Notamacropus eugenii: one gene and its partner. The protein of the gene in region 1 purifies or fractionates together with the protein of each later gene. This does not show direct contact. Links are inferred from orthologs where the notes say so. Each region holds a gene or a part of one and is shown on either strand. Other genes may lie near its edges.

Region 1 (9,763 bases):
CAACCCTTCCCAGAAGACTAGACCAGAATAAACTGTATTAACCCCTCCCCGGCTGTCTGAACTTGCTAGAGGCTGCAGTCCCAAGCCCTCCGGCGAGCCCTCCTCCGCACCATGCTGCCTCCCTGCCCTCTGGAAGCCTGGGTTCCCTCCAGCCACACAAGCGGGGTATTAGGAGGACCGCGCCCTGCACGTGTCACACTCTTGTCGTTGTTTCAGCTATCGCTCCCGAGTTTGAGGGGGAGAGGGGAGGGGCGCCTCTAGCCCCTCCGCCCTCGCTGAGATCCACGGAGGGGGAGCGTCACGACTACGGCGGCCTCGGCTTGGAGAGGTCCCGGGGGCACCCACGGAGCCCCAGAGCCCGGCTCTGAAAGGATGCCGCTCAAACTGGCCTCTCAGAACGCAAAGGACACGTCACTTCCGCTCGCCCGACCTTCTGACACTTACTCACCCCAAAGCCCCGAGTCTTTTGATTGGGAGAAGGAAAGGGGGCGGGGAGATATCAGGCCACGCCCCGAAGGGGGTGTGGGATGTTCTGGCCGCGCACAAAGGAGGCGGGAGCCCGAGCACCGCCCCCGGTCGGCGTGACGTCACCACGTTTGCCCGTCCGGGCGCGCAGGCGCTCGGTCAGAGTTCAGAGGTCAGGGTCTCGGGCGGCATGTGAGGGAACATTCCCAGGGCGGTGCGTGGAGGCGTCGCTGTCGGACCCTGGGACGTGTTTCCAGCGGGGTACGAGCCCTCTGGGGCCCCGCGGGGCGGCGGGAGGGACTAGGAAGTGGCGGGCCTGGGTGCGAGTCCCGACACCGACGCTCGGGCCCCGGGCAGGAGGAGGAGGAGGAGGGCGAGCCCCAGGAAGGCTCAAGGCCAGAGGGCAGCGCGACCCAGCTGGAGACTCGGGGTGCGGCCTGGGCTGCCCGGGGCTGGAAGGGACCCTCAGGCCACCGTCCCCCGGCCCTACGGGCGAGGAAACTGAGGCCAAGGTCCGGAAGGCCTCGCTCGGTGCCATCGAGCTCGGCAGTCCCCGGCCGTGAACAGCCCCTCCTAGCCGGAGGTCTGAGGTCCCCAGAGGAACCACCTGCGGGGGGCGGGCCGAGGTCTCTAGCCATTCCCCGCCCCCTCACGTCCTGCTCAGTAACCTCCCGCAGCGAATCCCGAAGGTCGCCCGGTGGCTCCCCCCCAATACTTACTCTTCCATCGGGTGACCGCCGCCTCCCTTCTGGCGGCTCCGTGGGCCGGACCCCTCCATCCTCTCCCCCACGCCGGCCACGCTGCCACTCCCTCGCCCCGCCCACTGACCTCCCTGGCCGCTAACGTCCCATCTTATGCTGGAAGCCTCCCCCAGCCGTTCTAATCGCAGTGCCTTCCCTTCTGGTCATCCCCGAGTTGTCCCAGAGCTCCTTGAGGGCAGGGAGTAACTGCCACCTGGAACCAGTCACTAAAGCTGCCTGGGCCTCAGTTTCCTTTTCTGTAAAATGCAGGGTTTGAGGCTCGGTGGAAGGGTGCTGTGCTCTTTGAGCAAAGCAGAATTGAGACAGCACAAAGTAAATGTAGGCTGCGCAAATTTAGGATATCTACCCAAAATATCCACGGACTATCTGTGGCAGAGCATTCCCAGCTTGTATTGGTCTGATCAGCCACAGTGGGACACACTGAAACTTCACTTTATCATGGGGATGTCATTTTGGTCCTCTTCGGAAGAGGAAGGACAACAGCCAACCAACCATCTGTAATCTAGTGGTTATCATCAGATTCCAAGAAGAAAAAAAGCCAAGTGGCTTTTCAAGCCTATACTTATTCACCTTTAGTACTCAGATTCATAGAAATGCAGACTTGTCATAGTCTGGAACTGAAAGGACCTCAAGAAATCTAGGCCAAGGATTCCTTGCCTGGAGTCAATAAATTTGTTTTTGTTTTTTTTTAATTATTTTGATCATTATTTCAATATAATTCTTTGCATTTGTAATCCTACTTGTTTTATTTTTGTGCTGCATAAAACAGTATTAGAATTCTAGGTGGTATAGTAGATGAGAGTGCCAGGCCTATAGTCAGTCAGGGTCATCTTCCTGAGTTCAAATCTGGCCTCAGACACTTATCAGCTGTGTGACCCTGGGCAGGTCACTTTACCCTTTTTGCCTCAGTTTCCTCATCTGTCAGATGAGCTGGAGAAGGAAATGGCAAACCACTCCAGTATCTTTGCCAAGAAAATCCCAGATGGGGTCATAAAGAGTCAGGACTGAAACAACAATTAGGAGAAGAGGGTCCATAAATTTTACCAGATTACCAAAGGGATTGGTGACACAAAATAGGTTAACATCCCCTAATCTAGGCCAGCACCAGGTCAGGAGGAGGCAAAGGGATGTTCCTGTTACTGACATATAGCCAGTCCCAGTCATTGGTAGAACCTGGGGTCAAACCCTACTCTCTTCTCTGTACTTGACTGAAGGGCTTCTCCATATTCATCTCCTAACTTCTCTTTGGGTGAGAGTAAAAGTAGCAAGCAGTATGAAACTTGGCTAAACCTCTCCTGTGTCCATGGACTTAGGTAGTCCTCTAGACAGAAGGAAATGTACTTATGTTATAAATCATAACCACCAACTAGACTGATTTTTAAACTTTGAAATTTCTTTTTTAGGTGACAAAATAACAAAATGTCAGTTGTTCGTTCTACTGTCCATGCCAAATGGATAGTGGGGAAGGTGATTGGGACAGCAATGCAGAGAACTGCCAAAGTGCAAGTCAACAGGCTTGTTCTGGACCCCTACTTACTCAAGGTGAATCTTATTATTATTTATCATCAAATAAGATGTATAAAACACAAAACGCAGAAGGTCACGGGGATAGATTAGTTCCTTAACTCTCCTTCGTAGATGAGCCAAGTCATTTTCATGTTTGAAAAATCATTATTGGCTACGCTCACTCAAATCTATCCTTGTTTTAGAACTTGTTTTAGAAAAACTTTTTGTCATAAATTACATGCCAAACTCATTGTGAACACATATCTACTTTAACAAGTTAATAATTTACATATTACGCCCTTTGTGTTTCTAATCTTTAACCAGTCAGTTCTGTTTATATACATAATTTAAATATCTGGTCATAGTGTAGCGTTGTTTTTATTGTTCAGTTGTGTCCGTCTTGGAGTTTTATTGGCAAAGATACTGGAGTGGTTTGCCATGTCCTTCGCCAGTTCACTTGACAGAGGGGGCAAACATGATTAAGTAGCTCCCCCAGGATCATGTAGCTAGTGAGTATCTGACCAGATTTGAACTTAGGGAGATGAGTTTTCTGACTCCAGACCCAGCATTCTGTGCATTCTGTGCACTGCCTAATTCTGCTTGCTTTATTATGTCACTTTACTATAGTATCTCATTACGGTAATGTCCCACCATTTATTCAGCCATCCTCCAGTTGATATTCAGTAATAATAGTTAACATTTATATAGTGTTTACTGTGTGCCATGCACTGTGCCAAACACTTTTTAAATATTATCTTATTTGATCTTCACAAGTCTAGCATGACAGAACTGACATTTAATCTATGTGCATTGTTAAGCTGCCGTCATTATCCCCAATTTACAGAAGAGGAAACTTGAGGCAAACAGGTAAAGTGACTTGCCCAGGGTCACACAACTAGTAACTGAGACCACATTAGAACTATGTCTTCCTGGCTCCAAGTGGTTGACCATTTTTCATTCTAGCAGACAGTGCAGCTAAAAATATTTAAAAAGTCCATGTGAGTGGTGAACATGGAGTATGACTAGTGATCAGAGAGAAAAGTCTGTATGTCGGGTTCCATTTCTACTTTGGATGCTGGCTTTGCCACCATAGGCAAGTCTATCTATTCCTCTTAGCCTCAGTTTCCCCATCTGTAAAATGAGGCTAGGGATACCTAGAGGATGATTATGGGATGAAAATAAGAGATGTGTGGAAAGCACTTTGCTCCTGGAATCTTGTGGATTTAATACATCCTGGGAGTCAAGTCCCAGGAGTGGGATTCACAGCTCAGAATATGACCACAATGTCATCAGAGCAAATAGCAGAATTGTTCAATTTTACTATTGGGTTATGAAGACGAGTGATTTAACTTTAAACTTGACCCTTCTGTTTCCCTCAACAGTACTTTAATAAGCGAAAAACATACTTTGCTCATGATGCTTCAGAGCAGTGCACAGTCGGAGACATCGTGCTCCTCAAAGCCTTGCCAGTGCCAAGAGCCAAGCACGTGAAACATGAATTGGCCGAGATCATCTTCAAAGTTGGAAGAGTCATCGACCCAATTACTGGGAAACCCTGTGCAGGAACCATGTACCTGGAGAGCCCAACAAGCTCTGAGGCTGCCCTCCCACCCCCCACCAAACCCGAGTCTGAAAGTCTGAAAGAATCCCTCAGCAAAGCTGCACAGAGCCCCAAACAAGCCTGCTGAGGGACACGCTGAACATGCAGACCAGGGAGGCTGTTGTAAATGTTTCCATTCCAGCCATCCTACTTCTGTAGATGAAGCATCGAAAAGTAATAAGTAAGGGACTTTTTCAAGAGCATGTTTTTTCCACAATGATAGTGACTGTTTCAAGTCACCTTATCAGAAGGACAGTGTGGGTATCAGTTTCTTAGAATCTCTGACCTTATTAACAGGCGCATTATTGACTAAGCCAGTTGTTTTGGAAAATAGGATTGATGGTCCATGGAATTTAAAATAACACAGGAGCCAGGGGGAGGGGAGCATAGGGAACGGACATGTTTGTAAATAATTATCTTTTTTTAATAGTAAAATATTGGAAGTACTTTAATGGAATTTTATTTTTAGTGGTTTGTATTCTATTTTTCTCTCACCTCTCATACTAAATGGAAAGAAACTGTTCAATTTTATGGCCAGATTTATTTATATAGATTAAGCTGAATTAATAAAAAACTTTTAAGGGGTTGGGAAAAGTGAACCCTAGCAACATTTTTTATTTCCAAGAAGCAGAATGTTCATTCATTCCTTTCTAAGATTACTGAAAATGAGGTTTCCCTTTTTGTGATAAAATCACAGCTAGAATTTGTTTTCAGACCAAGTAGTTAAGGGTTGTTCTTAATGAGGAGCACTTTTTGGATAGGTTGGGGGGGACCCAGAGGTGCCCACCTGTGCCCTGCAGGGGTGAAGGTTGTGACTTGTCTTGACCAAGTTAGACAATTCTTCAGTAGAGCTGGATTTCACAGTCATGTCCTGTTGGGAATCCAGCCCTGGAGGGAAAACTGACCTCTGAACTATGAAACAACAATGTATTTTAAGGCAAAGGAATAAGCATCTTTTAACTAGTGTGGAGTCTATGTAAAATCAAAAACTAGGATAAGGAAATACTGACTTGGCAAAGAAATGCTCATTCGGTTCAAGTGTCCTGCGTAGGCGGAGGTCAGAAGTCCGGTGGGACAGCACGGGCATTTAGTCCATGGGCATTGTTAAAGCAGATTTTGTTGCCTTGTGCCATCTGTACAGGGGGCCCCCAGGGAGGAAATTCCCCCTCCCTCAGCCATTTCCCCCCAGAATGTCTCCAATATGCAGGAGCTGCTGGACCACCGCTGACAACCCCCTTCTGGAACAGGTGTGAACCGGGAGGGTCTCGGCCTCGGCTGCGGCCCCAAACCTGCCTTCCTTGGAAGTGAGCCTCCAGTAACGCCTGCCTCCCCAGGCTAGGCCGGAGTGCTCTGCCGCTTCTCTAAGGCGTGGCCTGCCCTCGAAGGTCAAGGTCAAGTGCACCCAAGGGCACTCAGGCTGCAGCTGCTCTCTGCCGCCGCGGGGCGGCGCTCCGGGACGCCCCCTGGTGGCGGCGTTACGCGGCGCAGCGCAGGCCTCCCAGCCCGGGCCCGCCCCTTCGGCCTCCGTCGAGCGGCACTGGCATGGGGGAGGGGGCGGAGGGCCGGGGTGGGGGTGGGGGGGCCGAGCTAAGGCGCCAGAGCAAGATGGCGGCGCGAGTGCTGCGGAACCTGGGAGCGGCCGCGCCCCCCCGCCTGCGGCCAGCCCTCAGGTGAGCAGCGCCTGGCGGCCCGGCCTTGACCTTGAACCCCGGGCTGGGACGGGTGAGGTCTATGGCCCGGCGGCGCTCCTCCCCCGGCCCGGTGCCCCGGCCGGGGTTCAAGGTCACGAGCAGGGGCCCGAGCGCCCCTCCAGCCCCACGCGGGAGCCGGGCGGGGCCTAAGGACCCTTCCCCCTGCGGGCCACGCCAAGGGGGAGGGAGGGGGCGCGGGGCTGGGGGCCGACCGTGACCGTGGGTGCGGGAGCTGGCGGCCAGGCCCGACCCCACTATGGGCCGTGGCCGCGGGGGAGCCTGCGGGCGTCCGACTCGATCCCCGCTGACCCCCGCTCTGGCCGCTGTCGCCCTCGGGCCAGCAGGTCAGTGCCAGCCTGGGCTCTGATCCGTGACGCTGTCCTCCCCCGGACCGGGCTTCATGCTCCGGCCGCGGGCTGGACCTCCGAGTTCCCGCTGTCCACTTAGCTTTGCATCCGCTGGTTTCGAAGGGGCGAGTGACACGTAATCCTTGTGTGTAACTGACATTCGTCAGTGACATGTAACTGACCAGAGCAACTTCTGGAGAGCGCAGCGAGCGGCGTTGCGCCTCCCTCCTGGGCCGGGGAGTCCCGGACAGCGTTCTTTGTGTGTAGATATTGTCCCATCCCGTTCTTTTCAAGCATATGCTATACCAGGTACATTAAGCGCAACGCACCCAGGGAACGGTGAAACAAGAATAGAAAATAAACATGGCAGCGAAATAATGCTCACAGGTCCTTCTTGCAACTCTGAAGTGTATGCCTCTGCATTCACTTGAATGCTTCTTGGTTTCACATGCTGAAATCCGTTCTAACCTTTACCACAAGAGAATTTCTTTTTTTTTTTTTAGGGAAATGTTTGACGTTTTGCTCTGGCTCTTTGGAAAACTGCCCACCTCAAAGTGCTTATTATATATAAAGGAATTGCTAAAGATACTAAATGCTAAAGATATAAAGCAAAGAAATATTGTTTTAATTTCAGAAAAGGCAAGTAATCTAATCTAAATTCAAAAGGCAGAGAACATTGTTTATATACTGGGCTTTGAGACAATCAGTTTAGATTTTGAAATTTCTGATAAAGTTTAATAGATGCAGACAATAAAAGTTTAAGATTAGACAAAAACCTAACTTCATTTTTAAAAAGATGTGGTAGAGATTATGCTCCGGAATATTTGATTTTGGTTTTTGTGTGTGCCAGTAACAGATCCTAAATGTTTACAAGATACTCTCCTACATATATTAATCTATGAAAAATGTAATTCTGTTTATTGAACAATTTTTGCTGTTTTCAATAATGTATTTTAAGAATCACTTTTTTCTGCTAATGCCCCAAGCCCATCTTAAGAAAATGTTTTATATATTTAAAAAGTATTCTTATTTACTGTCTTTATATTTGCATATGTTTATATAGCTACATATTTCAAAACGCTGTCCCATGTAGTTTCAGACAATTGAAATTAAATAAGTCAATATAGTCTATGGATTGAGATATATAAAAGCCATTAAAATCCAGAGCAGCTTTATTTTTTTTTAATGACTGGAGATAGGAGGAAGACAAATCCAGTAAATTTATAAAAGCAACAAGTTAATCTTAAGAATAAGGAAAATACAATTTTGCATAGTAGGTGGATATGTTGTATAAGAACAGATTTGTGTAATTTGCAGGATTTTCAGTTATGAGCATGTGTATCTATCTTGTAAAACCAAGGGAGATTTGTATCCTTGAGTGTTTTCTTCCCTGTATTTCTTGGCCCTGAAGGTCACCTTCCTAATTGCTAGCTCACAGTTATTGTTAGGGCCTGTCCTCCCACGCTTTGTTCAGAACTGTCAGACTCCTTGGCTACATGGATACAGTATACAAAGTAACACTTTGCGATACTCTGTGACTAAGTTCTCATTGTCTTCATTTCCTTAAATTCAGAAGCCTACATGAAAGCCCTACAGCACAGGCCTGGGGATATTAGGATGTGATTTCTTAGGGAAAAACGAAATTCCTCCAGAATTTTTTATTTAGGCACATTTGTTGTGATTCACAAACTGATAATTGCCATGACACAGCCAGTAAGGTGAGACAATATTTGTTGAATTCATTTTACTGAGAGATGGAGAAAGAAGTTACAAATAATCTATCCAGGGATGATCCTCAGGATTCATTTGATACTCCTTTCGGGTGGAGTACAGATCACATTTCTGAGCTTGGGCTGAGAGATTGAACTTGATCTATGGGGCAGTGGGAATCCAAAAGTTTTAATGTAGGTGGTAGGATCCAACCCATGGGAAGAGTAGTCGATTTGGGCCAAGACAATGAAGATCCATCAGAGTGATAAGAAGGTGGGAGCAGGGTTTGTAGGGAATGTTCAGTGACTGGTACCACTTTGTAAGAGTGCCTACCTGGTCTCTCTGACAGGGTACATGTACCAAAGTACTGTGCCTGGCACATAGTAGGTGCTTAATAAAGGTTTATTGATTGGTTGACTGTTATAAATTCATTTGGAAGATGGAAATTATCCAATCTGTCCTGTGTGATAGTGTTTGTATCTTTAGGTTTAATTAGAGTAGAATTGACTTTAGTGAAAAGTCATTTTTGAGGTACTTTTCATTTTCTTTACACAAATTTTGCTTTGTCAAAGGTTGTTTTAGAAGGAGAAATGCATTCCTAGAATCCTGAAATAAAAACTTTTATATATGGGTGCTCTGGTAGAAAATACAGTCTGCTGAAGTCTTTCTCATTCCACTTGGACGTCACTTTGGGGAGTAAAATAGTTTCATAAACTAGTACTTGGCCTCTTCTGATTAGACAAAATAAGATGATTTGGCAAGATGGTTTGAATAACTTTTTGTAAAGTTTGATAATACTATGATAATTAATAAGATGGTTTGAATAACTTTTTATAAAGTTTGATAATACTATGATAATTAATAAGATGGCTTGAATAACTTTATAAAGTTTGATAATACTATGATAATTAATAAGATGGTTTGAATAACTTTTTATAAAGTTTGATAATACTATGATAATTAATAAGATGGCTTGAATAACTTTTTATAAAGTTTGATAATACTATGATAATTAATAAGATGGCTTGAATAACTTTTTATAAAGTTTGATAATACTATGATAATTAATAAGATGGTTTGAATAACTTTTTATAAAGTTTGATAATACTATGATAATTAATAAGATGGCTTGAATAACTTTTTATAAAGTTTGATAATACTATGATAATTAATAAGATGGCTTGAATAACTTTTTATAAAGTTTGATAATGCTATGATAATTAATAAGATGGTTTGAATAACTTTTTGTAAACTTTGATAATACTATGATAATTAATAAGATGGTTTGAATAACTTTTTGTAAACTTTGATAATACTATGATAATTAATAAGATGGCTTGAATAACTCGTGTGTATGTAAAGCACTTTGAGTTTTATAAGTTACTTATTGAAGTAAGGATTGCAAGGTTATGATTCCACATTTTACAGATGAGGAAACTGAGGCTGAGGGAGGCTAAGTGATTCTGCAAAGGTCAGATGGTTAGTAAGTCTGGGAGATGGACATTTAATAGTGTCTTCTGTGAATAATATAGTAGTTTGACGCTACTTAATTAAAAAACATATAAGCCACTGAAATTCTCATTCAACCTGCACTGACATATCTGTTCATTCCCAGGGGCCTGACAACTTCCTCCAACAGACCTCGTGAAGATAGTTGGTTAAAATCTTTATTTGTCCGGAAAG
Region 2 (9,958 bases), on another chromosome or scaffold:
GAAAAGCACAGAATTCTTAAACAACAAATTAAATAAATACCTTTGAATTGGGTGAGTTAATTCGCACAACTGCCACATCTCCTTTGACTGCACAGTTAATATGGGTTCTGGCTAAAAACAAATGTAAGATTTATTTGCAAACAATATTATTACTAACCAATTAAAAATGTGAAGTATTTCAATCAAGGCTATAAACTTACTTAACACAGCAGAGGACTGGGCAAAGTTGCGGCAGATATAACCTATTGAGAACAAGATATCAAAATGAAACCCTTTGAAAAACTTCTAGGTTTACAGATAGAAGCTAGAAGGTAGATCAAAGGTACATAGATAGAAGCTACAACCTAGATAGAAGGTATATCAAGACAATTTGATATTAAGTTTTCTCAGAGCTGTATCCATTGGCAAATTTTATGACTTGGCAGTTGAAATGAATATGTTAATCTTTTGTTATCAAGCAGTTTGATCCTGAGCCTGTAATCTCTCACCATATTCTCACTGTGCCCTAGTCATGTGTTCACCTACTCATGAGATGTGAAAGGTTATCTCAAACAGCAATATGACTACAATTAAATGAAACCTTTTATATCTCAAAATTTGTTTTACTGTAAATAATTTAATATTTTCAAATATCCAAATACTCAAAGTAGTATAAATCTTCAAATAAGACCTTAAAATTGTAACAATTTGAAAATAACATCAATTTTTACAAAACACTAACATCAATATTTTCAGTACTCCATTCTGTTCTTTGCACTTATATAATTTTGTAGCCTTTTAAAAATATGATTATGGTCAATGTGACTTCTTTTGACTTTGTTTTACATCACTTCCCATATGTCTTTCTATTCTTTATGTCTGCTATTTTAATAACAGTACAATAATATTCCATGATATCTATTATTGAACTATTTTCCATTATTACTGAACTATTTTCCCAATTAATGGAATACACAGTTACTAGTATTTTGCTATTATTTATAAAGCAGCTGTGAATATTTCTGTAAATATAGGTCCTTTCTATCTTTTAAAAAATATTATATTTTTTCCCCAATTACATGTAAAAACAATTTTCAACATTCTTTTTAAACATTTTGAGTTCCAAATTCTCTACCACCTCCCCCATGCAAAGATGGTAAGCAAGCTGACATAGGCCATATGTGTGCAATAATGTAAAACATATTTCCATATTAGTAATTTTGTGGAAGAAAACTGAAACAAAAAAGGTGAAAAACAGTATGCTTTGGTCTGCATTCACACTCCATTAGTTCTTTCCCTGGAAGTGTAGCATTTTTTATCATGAATTTTTTGGAATTGTCTTGGATATTATTGCTAAGAACTGCCAAGTCATTCACAGTTCTTCATCATATAATACTGCTGTTCTTGGTGTATAATAATATCCTGGTTCTGCTCATGTCACTGCTTCAGTTCATGGAAATCTTTCTAGGTTTTTCTGAAAGCATCCTGCTTGTCATTTCTTACAGCCGCTTCAGTGAACTTTGGCCTATATTCCAGTCTGCCAGCTAAGAAGAGAGTAACCTTTGCCCTACTTTCTAAACATGGGAGCAGACTGAAACTAATATCTTCCAAGCTTTATGAAAATATGTCTTCCACCAACTGTCTTCCCCAACTAGGGTTCCTAAAGAAAAACAGATTATGTTGAAACTGCAAACAATATTTTGGAAATGAAAGCTTTAATCATTTTCTAAATATCTCAAGTGAGGGAGGGAGGGAAATGGGATTAAGTTAAAAAGGAAGAGGGCTAGTAAAACTACCCACTTTGCCAGGAAACTGCCTTCAATTTACAAAAACAATGTTAATTCATATAACACTCACATAATTTGAAAGCTATATTAGAGTGAGGTAATAACTTTTCCCTCCATTGCTACAGAAGATAAAGGGTTAAGAATTCAGTGTTACAAAGTTAATTTTGATTAGATCAGATTCACTAGGCAGCCATTCAGCAGCAAATTTACACAAAGGTCATAAAGTCATTAGTTCCTAAAAGTGAGAGGTCAATTTCTTATCTTTAAATAAGTTGATAAGTTATTATGTTTGAGTTCAGGGAAATTTAAAGCAGAAATTACATTCAATACACAAAGGCAGAAAAAAAAATCTCCAATCATAACCTTCAACTAGTCAAAATCTGTGGCTGGAGTAAAAACTTTAAAATATTTTGTGATTATACTGGATTAATGATCTCATTAGTGTAGATACTCCCAAAAAAGACATGAATTAACACTTGCCTTCCTATTCTTTGTAATTTTTGTAGGTGTTTTTTTCTGTAATTACAATCCCAGTGTTTTCTTGGCCTAGACATTTACTATCATTTGTGTGGTGAATTCTAGATGTGAAAACTTTTACCAGTTCATCTGTAATTTATAATTCAGAGGTCAGCCCAGAAGCAGATTAAGGTTAAGTGACTTGCTTAAGGCCACATAGGACAGTAGGTTTCAGAAACAGGACTTGAATCCAGGTCTTCCAATGTCCACCACTAGCCCTCCCTCCACCTTTAATAAGAGTATTATATATATATATAATTTACATATAACTTCAAAATATGCAGAATGCTTTACATATATTATCTCATTCGACCCTCATGAAAAAGGAGGTTCCCATATCATCCTCATTTTACAGATTAAAAAAAACTGAGGCTGAGAGAGGTTAGTTAAGCAACTGTTCCAGTTACACAAGGATCTGAGACAGGTTTCCTACTAGTCTTCTTGACTCCAGGACAAGCTTCTTATCTACCCACGCTACCTTTTTCACACTAGACCTTTCAACATCAGCACAAATGACAACAATTTTTAAATGATAAAGAACACAGAATCACAGAATGTTTCAGCTGGAAAAGATCTCAGAGATCAACTTTAGAATGGAAGATTGGAATCCAAAATCCAAAAACTCATAAAGATTTGTGGTAAAGTAGACAGGACTTCAGATCATCTGATTCCAATGCTCTAACACTGTAGTCGGAAGACTTGAGTTCCAATTGCATTGTTATTTATACAGCCTCATCTTTTGATGCATTAGCATATCATAACTATCCGAAGAGAAGTTAAATAAAACTGCAGGGCTCACCTTCCTATGGTGACAGAGTCACACAAAGTTAAATGGGAAAGAAAATCCCCCAAGTTCACACTTAGAAGTCACCTCACCCACATTAATTCTTTTACTGCCAAGTTACTCCAGAAAGTGACTTTTTTGGGGGTCAGAACTGCTTTTTCCTCTACTCCATCAGAAATTCCCAATTCAAACCTGCTTGTAATTTAGGGTCTTAACTGAGGTGCCTTAGAGCAGTCAGAAGCAACCCTTAGCCCCTAGTCCGGTTCCTGGCATGTAAAAACTACATAAAAATTCATGCTGAACTGAACTGAAATCAAAGCAATCCAAAGTTGTTCCTTTAGCCATCACATCACTCATACGGTCTCTTAATCGCTGTAAGATCAGTGGAGACTGGATTTTATTGATTTTATGACCAGGGGAAACCCTCTCTACCAATGCCAGCCAACCTTTTCCCTGCAGTTTACAGTCTTAACGGCCTAGTGTACCGAGAGGTTTAAGTGATTCTCACCCCGCTAGTATGGGTCAGAAGCCGGATTTGAAACCAGTTTTCAAGCCCAGCTCCCCATCCACTATGTCAAGGTAAGCCCCACCTGCCGCAAAAATAGCCTAATTCCTGCAGACAAGTGGGGAACTCCAACCAACCAGCACCGTCCGCTCCACTAAAGTGGCTTCTCACACGAGGCAGGCAGGACAAGCCCCGCACCTGCTCTCCACGAGCGGGTACTTCACCCAATAAGCGCCAATACGTGCAGAGCTTTTTCAAGCTGGCAAAGCACGTAAAGCACCTTGGGATCCATGTAATTCCCGGGGGTCGTAGCTACGTCCCCATTTCCCTGATGAGTCACAGAGGCTTAAAGAGCTTTCCCACTGCCCTACACGCCATGAAGTGCCAGACCTGGGATCTGAACCCCAGCTCGGAGGCGGGCACCGGCCACCCGGACAGCTGAAATGCAGGGGCCAGGGAAGGATGGGCAAGGGGCAGATCTGGGGGCAGCGGTGACTGCAGGGGTCAGGGGTCGGCGACAACGCTGACTCTGCCCGTGACCTTGGCCAAGTCCCTTCCCCTCCCCGGGCCTCGGCTTTCTCGGGGGTAGGAGGGGATGAGGTGACCTCGGACGTCCCTTCCAACTCTCTGGATGCTGGACCCCCCGGGGAGTGGACAGGGAGCGGCTGCCGGCTGGGCAAGCAGCGACACAGGTGGGCGCCTCGGGGGCTGGCGGCTGGGCTCCGCTCGGGGGCGGGGTCAGGGGAAGCGGCCCGCATCTTCTGCCTCCCTCCCCACCCACCCTCAGGGGGTCTCCGGAGGCCGGCTCCCTCCCCTCCCCGCCCTCCCAGCAGCGGCCTCACCCGGGAAGCGGCGGGCGCGGGAAGCCGTCAGGCGGCCGAGGCTGCCAATTGCCCGGGCGGCCACCATCTTGGACGGGAGAGGGCGAATGCGAGCTCGCGCGGGGAGCTGGGCAAGCCGCGAAGCAGGGGTCCTCGGTGCCAGGGACTCTGCCCGCTCGGGCCTGCCCGGTACACTGCCGGAAGGGAGCCGAGGCAGGGACGGAGCTCCCGCGGGCACCCCTGGCCTCTGCTCGGGCGGAAGCGGGCGGAAGAGCCTCCCGTCCTAGTCCCCGGAGCAGAAGCCGCCCCTGGGCGGAGGGGCGGGGCTCGGGGGAGTTTCTGTCAGGCGAAGGCCAGAACAGCCCGCGGACGGGAATGCGGTTGTGGGGCGGCGGGGGGGGAGATGTGGTGAAGCCCGGAACGTAACCGATGGGCGGGGCGGGGCGGTTTATAGCCGGCGGCGTCTGGTCCGGCCCGTTCACCTCTAGTTGGCAGGATCGCTGTGGGCTGGAGGTCGGACAGCCGTAGAACTGAGGTGAGCGAGGAGGGAGCGCTCTTGCCCCCGAACCCACCCGACCGGGGCCTCTTCCTCCACGCCCCATCCCCGGCCCTGGCTCGGCCCCCGGCCCACCCTGCCCTGGGTCGCGATCATGGGGGACGGGGTGTGGACTGGTGGATGGGACTGGGGCACGGTAACCGGGTGACTCGTGATCGCGGGAGGGTCGTTTTCCCTCTCTGAGCCTCAGCTTCCCTGTCTGTAAAACGAAGGGGTTGGGCCTCGGTTTGCGAATCTGTAAAACGAGGGGATGGAGCTTCTCCTCGGGGCCTTGGTTTGCCCACCTGTAAAATGACGGGATAGACGGCGGCCTTCCGCTCCCAGTCTTTGCCCCAGCCTCTCTTCTCCAGATCCTGGAACCTCCCCCACCCCCCGCACGCAGCGCGTTTTACGAAGCACTTTCCTGCGGGCAGCTCCGTGGGGGGTAGACTGTGACTATTACTATTTACTTATTTCTCTGCATAAATCTACTCTGTGTTCTTCGATACGTAGGTTGAAAGTAGGGCCCGAAGCCCATGGCTGTCAGCGTCGGCACGGAGTCTCGAACCCAGGTCCCTGGGCTTCCAGGTCCGGCGCCTTTTAGAACGCAGACGGAAATCCCAGGCGTTGGCCCGAAGCCTGTTTTTGACCAGCTGTTGCTGGCTTGTTTCCTTGCTGTGAGCATGTAGTAAGCGGGTAGATCGCAGCCTCCAGTGAAGCCCAAGCGTTGTTTGGGGCTGCCGCCGTAGACTTAGAGCGGGATGGTGAGTGGTGCTGGTGTGCCTCAGCTCCGGAGCACCCCAGGGGAGCACGGCCTCGGGACAGCCCACGTCGGGGCGAGGCCGGGGTCTGCGAGTGGCTGCTTCTGGCGTGGGCGGGGGGAGAGGAGAGGAGAGGTCAAGCAGGATGGGGAGAGAGCAAGCGAGAGAAAGCAGTTACTTCTTACGATCCTAAAATACTTTCTGGTGCATGAGAGGAGGTAGCTGAGGTAGGATAGAGTCCTGGGCACTTCATTTTGCCTGCGAGGGCCTCAGTTTCCTCATTTATAAGATAAGGAGGTCGGACTAGATAATGTCTCAAGTTGTGTCGCTTTTTTTTTTTTTATCTTTAGGGCATCCTCCCCAAACAGGCAGAGCCGGTATCCCAATTTGCACATCTGGTGCAAATACTTCGGTTTCATAACCCACTAGGCAAACAACATGTGTATTTGCTGAATCTTAAGAAGGAAGTTGACGATCTGGAGCTTTGTCCGTAGCTTGACCCGTAGGAAACCATAGCATAGAGGGATGAGGTGAAGGAATTTGGAATATCTAGTCTGGAGAAGAAACTTTAACAAAAAACTGCTTTGAAAGGTTGTCCTGTTGAAGAGAGGGGTGAGATCCTGGAGGTGGAAACCTGGAAGTATTGAGTAAAAGTTGCTAAGATAAGTTTAAGCTCAAAACAGAATTTTTGCTAATGTGGAAATATTTTGCATGACTGAACATGCACAACCTATATCCACTTGCTTGCCTAATCTTAAAGATGGAAAAAGAGAGGGAGGAAAAGAATTTGGAACTCAAAGTTTTAAAAAATGAATGTTAAATTTTTGTTTATCTGGAATTGAGGAAAAAATAAAAATAACATCTAAATATGTGTTTGTATATATACATGTGCACATATACATAAAATCTCTTCCAAGGATATAGGCCCAAAGTGAAATGAGATGCCTCCAGAGGTAATGAATTTCCTGTTATTGGACATCTTTAAGGTAGATTGGGTGACAGTTTGTCACTGAGTTTGACTTACTTGGGTACAGGTTGGACTAAACCTCTCAGGTGAATTCTGAGGTTCTATGAACCTGTGAAGGTGTGGTTCTCTGAGGCTGAGTATTACCTGAGATCATGAAACTTAGCAAAGCAAGGACTACTTAACTCAACTGGGGATATAGCAATAAAAATGAAAAGTTTCTGCTCTCAAGGATCTTAAAGTCTACTGGGAAAAAACAACAGTTGCACAGTTAGGTAAATACAGAATATATACCATCTAAATACAGAGTAATGGGCTGGAGTTGGATTGGGGTGGGGGGAGGTAGGAGCTTATAACAGCTGTGGTATAAGGAAAGGTCTCCCGTAGGAAATGACACTTGAGCAGTGTAAGGGAGCTATGGGGGTTTAAGAGCAAAGGTGAGGAAGAAGGCACAGGTAAGATATGGAAATAATTCAACAAACTTTTGTTAAATGTTTACTCTCTATAGAGCACTGGACTTCTTGCTTTGGAGAGATACAAAAATTACATAAGTCTGCTTTCATGAAGACAAGAGACTGGTCTGTTATCTTTAAGGCCAAATTTGAAGTCACAACTTCCGAAAGCTTTCCTGGACTACTCGAAATGTCATGCTGTCGTCTCCCTCTCCCAAATCTTGTTTAGTATTAGATGCTGCCTTACTGTTACTTATGTTATTTCCTATATACATTCCCGTCCTTTCTCCTCAGTTACATTGTCAGCTTCTTGAGAGACAGTTGGTATATTGGATCTCAAGTATGATTTAGGATCAGTAAGACCTCAATGTGAATTCTGCCTCAGATCTAGTAGCTATGTGACCCTTAGAAAGTCACTTAACTTCATTCAGCCTCAATTTCTTCATCTATAAAATGAGAAAATATACTTATCGTATATTTATCTCACATGTTTGTTTTGAGAATTAAGTGAGATTAAACTGCCATTTCCTTCTAGAGCTCATTTTACAGATGAGGAAACTGAAGCAAACAGGATTGACTTGCCCAAGAAGCTTTCCTTCCAGTTTAAATCAACATATACTGTAACTTCTTTCATTAGAAAACCTTTGAAATTAATTTACATATATATTAAAGACATTCTTGATGAAAATATGAGAAAGGAACAGGCAGGCTTTCACAATTTTTACTTTTTAAAAATATTGTTCTTACTAGATTTTTCCCTTCCTCTCTTGGAGAACCATCCTTTATATCAAAAAATCTAAAAGAGGGGCATGGGGAAGAAGAGGGGAAAAAATTCAGCAAAACAAACCAAATTACAAAAAAATCTTTAGTGTTCCATATCATACCTGGGAAACCAGGTGCTCCCTTCAAAGAATGGGGGGTGGGTGAGGAGAGAGATATCATCTTAATTTAAAAATATATTTTGACAACTGTATTTCAGTGTATTGGTTTCCTTTGTAGTCCTTTATACTTTATTTTATGATTTAACGATATTCTGAAAAAGCTTTTACAGTGGAGGGAAAGAGGGGGAAGGTGAGAGGGAATGAATGAACTTTATTCTCATTAGATTTGGTTCAAGGAGAGGATAACACACATTCTCATTTGGGTATGGAAATCTATCTTACCCTGCAGGAAAGTGGGAGGAAGGGGATAAGAGAAAAGGGGATGGTAGAAGGGAGGGCAGATTCAGGGAGGAGGTAATCAGAGGCAAACACTTTTGAGGAGGAACAGGGTCAAAAGAGAGAATAGAATAAATGGGGGGCAGGATAGGTTGGAGGCAAATATAATTAGTCTTTCATAGCATGACTGTTATGGAAGTGTTTTGCATGACTACACATGTATAACCTGTCTCAAATTGCTTGCTATCTCAATGGGGGTGGAGGAAGAGAGAGAATTTGGAACTCAAAGTTTTTGAAACAAATGTTAAAAATTGTTTTTACATGCAACTGGGAAATAAGATATACAGGCAATGGGGTATAGAAATCTATCTTGCCCTACAGAAATATAGAAGGGGAAGGGTATAAGAGAAAGGGGGTGGTGGTTGTAGAAAGGAGCACAGATTGGGGGAAGGAATAATCAGAATGTACACTGTCTTGGGGGGAAGGGAGATATGGGGAGAAAATTTGGAACTCAAAATCTTGTGGAAATAAATGTTGAAAACTAAAAATAAATAAATAAATATTTTTTAAAAAAAGAGTATTCTGAGAAGATTACCCAAGAGCTCTGTGACACAAACAAGTTAAGAACTAATGTTGTAGATGGTGAGGTGGATTGTGTCAAGCCTCTGGAATAGTACAAAATCTTCTAAATAAAATCCTTAATTACTCAAAAGAGTTTCACATAATTATTCATGTAGAAAATACCAAGTGGAAGAAGAATACCTGTTATCCAGATTACAATGAGCATTTAGAAGGGCAGCCTATAGAGCTGACCTATGAATATATGTATCTTAGGCTTTGAATGTGAAAAGGGTATTGGACAGAATTGAATAAGAGAAAAGCCATGGGCTAGATTAGCTTACATTTTGGGAAATGCTTTTAGTGACCTCCAAGCATTAAGCTGAAACAGAGATCTATCTTTTTAACATAGTCAGTATTCTGGTTGTGATGTCCTTTGAGAGTCAAGGAATATATCACAGCCTCTGCCCAAAGAGAAATGGACAGATACATAGGGGACATAAATACACTACACTTTATTACCATGGAAGAACTGTATAGCGGAATCTTGTGGCAGAAAAGATAGCACTGGAGAAGTGAGAGATGTTTGAGATAAGGAAATGGACCAGGCAGTTTGGAAAAATGTCTTATGGGTAGCTCATTCAATCTATTCACATATACATAATATCCAGAGATTTAAAAGAAACCCTCCGGTTAGTATGTGGGGTGCAGCCATATGGCAGATTTATAACAGGACATGGGTAAGAAGGATAAATTCATGGAAATTTGTGGAAGTTTGATGTGAAATGAAAATTATGTTTCTTATCTAATAATACAGGAAGTAGAGGGAAAAGGATAGAACTTAGAGAAGAAAAGACTGATAGATATTTGGTACTAATACAAAGCCAATGGGTTGGGGAAAATTTTCCAACTCTATTATATTTGAAATCATAACCTTAACATGTTAGAAGCTTTCTCAGATAGGTAAATGACCTTATTTTATTAAGGGTACTTTGCAATGTTAAGGAACAGTTCATTTTCTTGGTTTTAAAGAAAGATCCTTTTGACCACAACCTAAGTAGAGTTTGTGTGTAAAACCACAGTTTCTTGTGGTGGCATAGGGAAGGTTCTTAAAATAGTTATTTTGAGGGCTAAGGATA

What was found.
Region 2: the proteins of NIPSNAP2 (region 1) and HADHA purify together in Homo sapiens (affinity purification with mass spectrometry; 3 studies listed by BioGRID and IntAct, with this or other methods). This does not show direct contact. The link is inferred for Notamacropus eugenii from reciprocal best matches to the Homo sapiens genes NIPSNAP2 and HADHA.

What each region holds. Positions count from the first base shown.
Region 1 is NC_092873.1:43,382,608-43,392,370, reverse strand, and holds the start of NIPSNAP2 (protein NipSnap homolog 2), read left to right. Parts: upstream 1-5,864; 5' UTR 5,865-5,874; coding exon 5,875-6,002; intron 6,003-8,056; exon of another isoform or gene 8,057-8,071; coding exon of another isoform or gene 8,072-8,088; intron 8,089-9,695; coding exon 9,696-9,763. Other genes in the region: MRPS17 (small ribosomal subunit protein uS17m), read left to right, coding at 2,646-2,768, 4,115-4,420. UniProt on the Homo sapiens protein: Protein involved in mitophagy by facilitating recruitment of the autophagy machinery required for clearance of damaged mitochondria.
Region 2 is NC_092872.1:527,177,511-527,187,468, forward strand, and holds the start of HADHA (trifunctional enzyme subunit alpha, mitochondrial), read right to left. Parts: upstream 4,616-9,958; 5' UTR 4,481-4,615; coding exon 4,414-4,480; intron 243-4,413; coding exon 201-242; intron 112-200; coding exon 41-111; intron 1-40. UniProt on the Homo sapiens protein: Mitochondrial trifunctional enzyme catalyzes the last three of the four reactions of the mitochondrial beta-oxidation pathway.